Linked DNA regions of Caenorhabditis elegans. The protein of the gene in region 1 interacts with the protein of each later gene in a biochemical or structural test. Each region holds a gene or a part of one and is shown in the gene's direction. Other genes may lie near its edges.

What was found.
Region 2: the proteins of nmur-1 (region 1) and capa-1 interact in a test that uses a peptide from one of them, tested with the Caenorhabditis elegans proteins (one large-scale study listed by BioGRID).

Annotation. Positions count from the first base shown.
Region 1 is NC_003284.9:8,979,304-8,985,564, forward strand, and holds nmur-1 (G-protein coupled receptors family 1 profile domain-containing protein), read left to right. Parts: upstream 1-1,672; coding exon 1,673-1,831; intron 1,832-2,236; coding exon 2,237-2,337; intron 2,338-2,382; coding exon 2,383-2,529; intron 2,530-2,585; coding exon 2,586-2,685; intron 2,686-3,276; coding exon 3,277-3,396; intron 3,397-3,440; coding exon 3,441-3,506; intron 3,507-3,563; coding exon 3,564-3,647; intron 3,648-3,792; coding exon 3,793-3,871; intron 3,872-4,558; coding exon 4,559-4,681; intron 4,682-4,890; coding exon 4,891-5,044; intron 5,045-5,481; coding exon 5,482-5,551; 3' UTR 5,552-5,760; downstream 5,761-6,261.
Region 2 is NC_003284.9:5,917,768-5,921,024, forward strand, and holds capa-1 (LYMARV-amide), read left to right. Parts: upstream 1-1,992; 5' UTR 1,993-1,998; coding exon 1,999-2,068; intron 2,069-2,196; coding exon 2,197-2,290; intron 2,291-2,353; coding exon 2,354-2,450; 3' UTR 2,451-2,727; downstream 2,728-3,257. UniProt on the Caenorhabditis elegans protein: Encodes at least three neuropeptides: two of the periviscerokinin family (APHPSSALLVPYPRV-amide and LYMARV-amide) and one pyrokinin (AFFYTPRI-amide).

The DNA of each region.
Region 1 (6,261 bases):
ACACCTGTTCCGTGAAAAGTCTGATGAAAGCAAGATTTTATTGCTAGTGAAAAGTTTACATAATTTTAAACTTAGCATTTTAAACAGTAGACATTTCACATGCTTTTACTTTTAAACTTTTCTAAGCATAATTCTATCTTCCTAGATATTACATATATTTTCCCAATGTTTAGTAAGCTCACAGAACATAAAACAAAAAATATATGTTTCTTCTTCGATTTTCGAAAACAAAAACATAATCTAATTCGGTTTGGGATGCATCTGACATCTGAAACAACGCGTCGAAAATGCAAAAAGTTCAACGAACGAAAAGAAGAACAAACCCGAGATGGATTTCTTTTTGTTTTTGATCTTCGTTTTTTTTTCAAAGTTAGCCATATTTATGTTCACCACAGAAATTCCTCCCATCTTTTCTCAAAACAAAGAAGTCGAGACTAACATTAAAATCGTGTCGTTGCCCTATAATTGAACACATCTCTATTCTATCTCTTCTTCATTTTGCTCTTTTTGGCTATTCTCTCACTCATCGGGAAACCCGTGATTTTGATTGCCTAACCCAGACTGAAAGCCTATTGAAACACTTTTTCATATGCTTTTTCCCACCCGAGTCATGAACTAAAAATCATTGAAGCTGTGGCATTGAGCAGAATTTTTCACGAGTCATCCCAATACAATATACTGATAAAGCATTTTTATCTAGGTTTGTTTCTAGGAATTGAATAATTTACTCCACAGAGAGCTCATCTCATCTCTATCATACCTTTAAATTCTTATAATAATTATTGTGATAATGTAAGTTTTTCATGTTTTTATGAGTTTCGTTCCTTCTCCACCTCAAAAAAAAAGATTTAAAACATTTTTTGAGTTCAAAGCCAGAAAAAAACTAAAATAGTATAAGACTTGTGTGAATTCAAATTTAAATATATAAAAACGTTTTGCGGAAACTAACGCGAAAATACTTTAAAGAACAAATAAAAGTTACCTTTGTCGTATTTGAGATTGTCAAAAACTGTTTGTAGCTTCAAATTTCATATTTAAAGAAACATAGGACATATCTTTAACTTCAAGTTTTACAAAAGTGTTATGTTATTACTCACGGCCTTTTACGTCAGTGCTCATTGAAATTATCTAATTTTTCACATCACAAACATGTTGGCTATCTGCAAAAGAGATCTTACCCCGAAAATGACGGGGCTTTCTCCAAATTCTTTTTTACGTGTGAAATTTGAAATTGAAAAAAATGACTACCCTTTGCAACCTTTACCCGTTGAACCCACACCGGATGAGGATTCATCGCACATTTCTGGTTGGTCGAACACTAGGAAATCTTTTTTTACTGAGAAAGTTTTTTGTAGACTCAACTCCATTTTACTTGGTAGAAACATTTTGAACTTCAAGAATTTTCGAATAGTGGACACCTATGTATAATTGCAAGAACAATGAAATTTAATACTCATTAATTCTTTCTTTCAACTAGTTTTTTGTTCTCATATTCGTTTTTTGCATTTTCTTTGCCTATGTCTAATTAGAAAATGAAAGAGCAAAAAAGTAAAGATTCACACAAGTCACACGTCAGGATGACTTATTCATTATTTGCCTGATTCTTCTCAAATTATACGTACGCATCTTTCAACGGTACGTCTCATTTTGCGGATTTCAGCCGAGTGAGAACATGTTGCAAGCTTGCCTAAACACCACCGAAGACCAATGTGATTGCCTTGCATTCAATTGTCCAATTGTTTATAGTCATTCGGAAAGCGAAAAAGAAGCGTGTTACATGGAGCACTGCTTTATTTCAAAACGAGCACTGGATGACGTCACGTTGTATAAGGTTGGTGAAAAAAAGAAATTAAAAGTTGGGAAGCTATAGATAAATTTTAAAGTCATTGAAAATAATTGCAGGAAGCAATAAAGCCCTAATTTACACTTCACAATAAATTGACACCATACAATTACTATTTTCCTCTATTAGAAAAAAACATTTGTTTCTAAAATGGCAAAATTCCACCATAACAAAAATGTTAAGTTAACTGGCACCCCAAAAAAGATAATTTCAAAGTTTTAAATCATATTTATTTTCTCCAAAAATGAGGAAAATGTCTGAATAGAGAACATAATTTTTCAACGTAACTATGATCTTTCTTGATATCTTTCGTGTTATCGGCGAAACTATAAATCTTGCTGAAAACCTTAAATTCGCATGTTAGTTCAAATTCAAACTATAAATTTTTTTCAGGTGACTGCTCTTTACATTTTCATTTTCTTAGTTGGTGTAATTGGAAACACTACAACCTGCTTAGTCATGAAAAAACATCCCATGATGAAAACCCATGCAAGGTAAGGTAATTCTTCCAACTACCAACATAAGCCTTATTACTTTAGCATGTATCTCATGAATCTGGCGGTTTCGGACTTGGTCACGTTATGCGTGGGTTTACCGTTTGAAGTAATGATGAACTGGAATCAGTACCCATGGCCATTTCCGGATTACATATGCAACTTGAAAGCGCTCATTGCGGAAACAACGAGGTGAGGCGTTAATGATTACTGAATAGTTCAGCAACAAAGTTACATTTTTATTTCAGTTCCGTTTCTATTCTGACAATTCTGATTTTTGCAATTGAACGTTATGTAGCGGTGTGTCATCCACTTTTTCTAATGAAGGTTCAACCATTCAAGAGAAATGTGAGTTCAATTAATGCTTAACCCGCATACTGGCTACTTTACTCTCTAAGTCGGCAGTTGATATCTCGGTTGAAAAAAAGTCTAACTGCTGCAGAATTACGACAAGAGAACGTTAAAAAATTTATTGTTAGTGTCCTTTGAAAAGGGAGAAAAAAAACAATTGAGATATAAGTTATCATAGTTGAGAATTATAGTATTAATGTAAATACAATAGTTAGAATAACATTTAAATCTATATTAAGTTGGAATATGCGCCGACAACGTTGCATGTAGAGTACAGTACTTCTATCAAATCCCACAGAGTTATAAGTGTCATAGATACAGGTTTTAAGAAAACACCACTTGAAAAACGCAGACAACGTAAGATTTAAAACATGACTCGTTGCGAACCTCGATCAATGTCGGCTGCGCGATTTTTTCAAAGCTTATTATTTGATACTCACTATCAGGAAAGCAGTACGCAGGAAAGCAACACATTATGAAAATATTTAGAAAATGAGATTTGTGATTGAACCACATAAAACATTCAATTTCATAAACATAAATTATTTATTAAACTATCAACGTACAACAGCAATAACATTTTTGAAGATTGGAACTATAATTGGCTTTACTTGGATTTTCTCTATCCTTTGTGCTATGCCCTTTGCGATCCATCACCGAGCCGATTACATTATGAAAAGCTGGCCAGGGACAGACAACAGAATACCGGTAAAATAGAGTTTATTGACAATAACTCAGCAAAGTCTTTTAAGGTTAAATCTTCAAAAATGTGCATGATAGCAGTGATGTTTGAACCAAAGCTAGCGTCAACTTTTAAGGTAGTTAATAAATAAAAATTATCTTATACAGGGTGCAAGTTTGTATATTTTTTTCAGATTCTATTTCACTTCTCTGCCATAGCATTCTTTGCACTCCCACTGTTTACAATTGTAATTCTCTATGCAAGAATTGCATGTAAGGTAAGAAAAGTTGAACGGTGAAAAGCAAATTTTAAATTCACATTAAAACATTGATTGTTTTAAAATGAACGTTTTAATATCGTAATGAATAACGGATACACGTAAAACAAAAATTAAACAAAAACTCACCTGTTCTTTCATTTAGGTATCCAGCAACAGAACAATTCAACCAGGCGAACTTGATATCACTGAGGAACTGCAAATGAGAATCAATGCAATTTTATGTGAGTTCGGGATGAGTTGTTGATAAAAAACAGATGTAGGAGGGGTAGAAAATTGGAAAGTGAGGAACCGAATATGGGAGGGATTGGAGCGGAAAACGAATGCGTGAGCAGAGACTAGAAATGGATGTACTTAGATGAAGTACAAACTATCGTATTGTTCCATACAATTTTCAGTGGATATTTTTGTATTTTTCGGAATTTCGAGAACTGCGGTAGTTTATTGTTTAGTAACAGAGTTTTTAGTAACAAAGAGTAGAAACAAGGTAAAGTGACAATTTATGCAAATTTTGGGTTTTCTGGATGAATACTGTTTTTCACTTTAACTGTTATATTTTGTCACTACAGATAAAATATTGTATGTTCCCAAAAAGTGAGAAAAATATGAGCACATTTTGTCATTGTCTAGTGGCGAGTCTAGTGGTCTAGTGAACCAGTTTGCAATTTATGGTTTGAATATTTTAATTACTTTTAATAGTTTGTACAGTTTGGATTAACAATATACACACCTTGAACAATAATGTTATGAAAAGTTGGAACAATTTCTAGTAAACAGATACAAGTTCTAAGCAGTGCACATTCAAATACCAAGCTCATCTTCAGACACACATCCTCTTAATGTAATTTTGTTTCCGGAAATGCTAAATCAACTAATCGACCAAAAATCGTAACATTGAATTTAATTTGCAGGTGCAATCGTTTCGGCTTTCTTCATCTGCTACCTTCCGTTTCAATTGCAACGTCTCTTGTTTTTCTATTTTGATAATGAAGTTATTTTGACATGGGTCAATCAGTATATGTATTTTATCTCAGGTTTGTTATCAAAAAGTTCAAAAGTAAATCGTCTTTAAACCAGTAAATATTAAGATAGATTTTGAATTTTTTTTTTGAGAACAAAAAGAAATCATAGACAAATTTGAACAACCATAATCCATTAAAAAACAAAAGTTCGGATCAAGTTTCACTGGAGAACAAGTCTAATTAATGTGCACAACAAATTTAAAAATAAAATTAATTTTTAGGATTCCTTTTCTATCTTGCCACTATCATCAATCCTATTGCCTATAACCTTGCATCCAGCCGTTTTCGAAGAGCATTCAAAGACATTCTTATTGATTACTGTTGGAGAGGAGGATCTGAGCGTTATCCAAGAAGCTCATTCAGCAAATATAGCTTGTGAGTGGGAATATTCAGAGCAGTTACAAATATTTTGTTCGTGATCAAGAAGAAAACGATGAGAAAATTGTATTAACTACATTTTCCATTGAAAAAATACTGTAAAATGCACTTTGAGTGCCAAAAGCGGCGCAAGTGACGAGTAGTACAAAAAAGTGTTTAAGAAAATTTTTAAAAAAATATGGTTTATTTCAAAATTTATCACAAATTATACTTTGGTTGACAAAATCACATTGAGATGATAATTTCGTGAAGAAAATTTCCAGTGTCCAAAGTCCTGATTAAAGCTTTTGGAAAACAAAACTAGTTTGCATAGTTAATTTCAATAACTTTTGCTGCTCGGCTAGTGACATCACACACTTTATTTTTCTTAGGAAATATAGGACTGCTTCTAACAACTTAAAACAGTTTAAGATGCATTAAAAGTCAATTTCCAGAGCTCATACTCCTCTCAGGCAAGCCATGTCCAACCGGGTTCCAATTCTCGACTCCAAAACAAACGCATAACTTCAAAACATTGTCCCAAAATAATATTATTTGTACATATATTTTATTTTGTCTCCACATTATTTTTAATTTTTTTTCTCCCTCTTCAATATTTGTAAACCTTGTCTCATATTTTTCCTGCTAATTCGATATCATGTAGTTTGCATTACGGGGGCATACTTCATTCTATACTTTATTTCAATCTGCCAAATAAAAAGTGTAGGTTTTCTATTTTCCTTCCTGGAAGCACACGGTCCAGTGAACTTCAGTCTCTCTTGGTAGCAATGTACCAAAAAGTCACTGAGACAGAATTTGGAAGTAGAGAGAAATGTAAATGAAGTTATTTTTTATTTTTTGCTTTGACATACGGAAATAGAAAATTAAAATGTAAATAACAAAAACGACTTTTCATAAATTATATATGGTGTAAAATTGACCTTTTACATAGAATTTTAAAAGAAAGTCTCCCACCTTCGTTAAGAACATAAACATTAATTTTCAATCCCACAATTTAAATTACAAACAAAATGTGACATTCCTGAACTTTAGACAAGGCGTCTGTGAAGTTTTATGTTGTTCATATCTTTGATAGTTTTCCGCGGAGGTTGAAATTTGAGAAGTTCCTTGTGTTCTTGCTGATTATCATCTTTAAAATCATCTGAGAATGTTGTGTTCACGGTAATATGATGCAAAAATACCTTCAACTATTGTTTTTACTGACATTCTAAAGT
Region 2 (3,257 bases), 3.1 Mb from region 1:
TCATTTTGAAATAAAATCCAAATTCTCATTTAAAACTGCAAAAATTACAAGAATATTAAAATTTTTTAAGATTAAAAAATTAGATAATATTCTGAGATAATGAAACTTATTATTTACTTGAAATGTGATTATTGAAATGTGAACACTCTACAGAAATTATGACCACAGGACAAGTAATTTTACGGTCAAATTTGCCTTTCCACAAAAAAATTCATATTCAGATTCTGCAGGTATTCGTTAAAATTTAGGAAAAGCAACAAAATAGATCGGAGCCAGGCAGCATATGCTATTACCTGCAAACACTTCAGCAATAACTCGGATTCCTCTCGTAAATAAATTTCGAAAATATAAACTTTTCTTAAAATATTTGGCACATATTGTTGGCACAACCTTTTTAAAATCATTGGTGGACCTACAAAGTGATGTCCAAATATGAAAATAAAGACGAGAAACGAAACGAACTAATAATACCCGCGGCTTAATTTGAGGACAACAAACGACAGCTTCTCCATGTTTTTTGCAAAGTTGATCCTTGGAGGGCAATTTTGACAACACGTGCTGTAAAAATTTGCGGATACCAAGCCTACAGTTGATTTGTGATGTACCAATTATGAGCACGATAAATCGCGAGCCAAAACGACCACTGTTCACATTTCTGTATTTTGAGAGTTGCGATAGGCGCATTGTGCGCAATGTTGGTGGGCATGGCGGTACTTTCACAATGCTGTTGCTGCGAGGCTCTGACTCTCACGAATATTTAGTTTTGCTTTGTTTTTACGTTCGTTATATCCTTGGAATGTCATTCTCGTACCTGAAACCACCTGGAAACTGTTTTCGTTTACGCATTCTTAACCCGGAAATGTGTTTCTCGCCAAAACACAAGTTCAGCTGCAAAAATAAACTTTTTCGAGTGAATCAGGAATTTCAGAAGTTTATCAGAGACTTGTTTTTACAAAATCTACACATGTGACTGGAATTTTCAAACGTTTGAGGTAAATATTTTCAGTTTATGATGAATACGTAACTGAGATAAATTAAATAAATAATCTTTAAGTTCACAGTCTGAATAGTCTGCAAAACCGGACACTCAAACTCTAACAATTGTTTAATTTGCCTGTCAAGGCAATTCTAATCACTCAAAAAGTGCAAGAAGCGCACTTGTTCCCTAAAGAATGCTTCTAATCCCTTTGTACGAATTTGTACTGTCAACGAACTGTGTGGTGGAATGAGGAAGACGCAGCAAATAATCCATTGACAAACTGGGCGGGTCCGTCAAATCCGTGTGGCAAACAACTGACAGTCTAACTAACTGTTGCTGCTCATTTTCAATCAGTGCGAGCTGGCCTCCTTCCGTCGTCTACATTTCTTATTGATTATTCGGCATTCTGTTAGGAAGCATCAATGTGTTGTGACCGTTGTTACGGTCAATTTGCAAATTGAAAAAATGACCGTAATCCCGTTCACAATACATTGTTCGTTTTCTCCAAAGGTGATTCATTAAGTAAAAAGGGAATGTGGGTGTGCAAATGTGAATGTTCTGCTGGTTTACAACCGTGGTTTACAACCAGACAGCTAAAAACGCATGCCTGGATATTAGAGAGTGACGACTATATCCATATTTATTTTGACTATTCCGTCGGCTCGAATTCCTGGTAAGATTTTCTTGTTCACATTTGAATAGGACAAATAGTGATTTCACTCGTTTTTCTTCCTTTTCTGTCTTTTATTAATTTCCTTTTTTTTTGAAAATAGCCGGAATCGTTTTTTTTTGTCGGCCAAGAGGTGAGTAGGTGTAGTACAGCAGGGGTGATAAGCCAAAGCGTCACAAGACCGGTGGCTCCCAGAACGGAAATTAAAAAAGGTGGGACTTTGGGCGGCTTAAAGTGTCACTGGTCTGGACGAGTAGATATTCGACACCCCTCTTGCACATATTATTTGTTAGTCTGACTGAGTTTTCTCAGTCATTCAACATAAACTGTTCACATTTCTACAGGAACAATGCTTCTCTGGATCGTCGCCACTTTGCTCATTTTTAGCCTTCCAGTGTCAACGGCTTTAGATTATAATGGTAATTGATTTTTCATCAGTATCACTAAAACATTTTGAGAATCTAACCATGATTTAATAGTAGGTATATAGTATATCAAGTATGTACATGTAATACAATAATCCCTTATAAAAATCTACATCTTTCAGATTTCTCCTTGCAACGAATTGCTCGGGCTCCACATCCATCATCTGCTCTCTTAGTGCCATACCCAAGAGTCGGAAAACGAAGTAACATTTTGAAGTAGGTTCAAGCAAAATGAAAAATACATTTTATGTAAAAAAGTTTTAAAATTTTGTTTTTCAGTAACAATTCCGAATCACAAAACTCTGTCCAAAAGAGACTCTACATGGCGCGTGTTGGAAAACGAGCATTTTTCTACACTCCACGTATTGGGAAATAATGACGAGGATACTCCAGACGGACCGGCTATAACTGACACTTTTCATTTTGATCAATCCTTATTTCCCTCTTTCCCCTTGTTCTTCTGTCACGTTCCTTTCTTTTTTCATGAATGTATGTACACTATATTATCACAACAACACAAATCGACAAAATTTTTTTGACCTTTTCTATTAAATTTTTTTAATTTGAAAGTCTTATTGTGTTTTCTTTTCACTTCCATTTCCTAATATCTTGAACATTTTTCAAATGTGGCAGAATAAAGTGTGCGACGCGTTACCAAAATACACTTTGATTTTTGATCTCACTCGATTTCGAGGAGATCTGTTCCGTTTTTGACGTTTTTTTTTCTGACAACGACAATTAAAAATTGAGAACAAGAAAAACAACATCTCGTGTTTGTTGAATTGATACATTGGGTTTATAACGAAGCACAGATGTATTTTCTGGCGGTATTGCTTTTAGTATGGGAAGATGTTAACGTTCGTGTTTTTTGTCGGTGGATTTTAATCGCTATTTCTCAATTCCAGCTGAAAAATTTTCAACTTTTTTTGTATGTAATGTCAATAACACGTTTTTCTTGTTAGAAAAATAATTATTTTGCAGCTGCCAACTTTGATCACCTATAGTAATTTCCCTATCATTCATAATTACGCTTCCGTTGGTCAAACTTTGCTCGAAAATTATAGATTTAAAGTTTTCAGTAATCAAGTGTTCATAAAATCATGTACGTTCATGCTATTTTGAGACTATTCGAATTTTTTGGAAGTTTTTTTTTTTTTCGAGCCAATGATGTGATTGAAAAGAA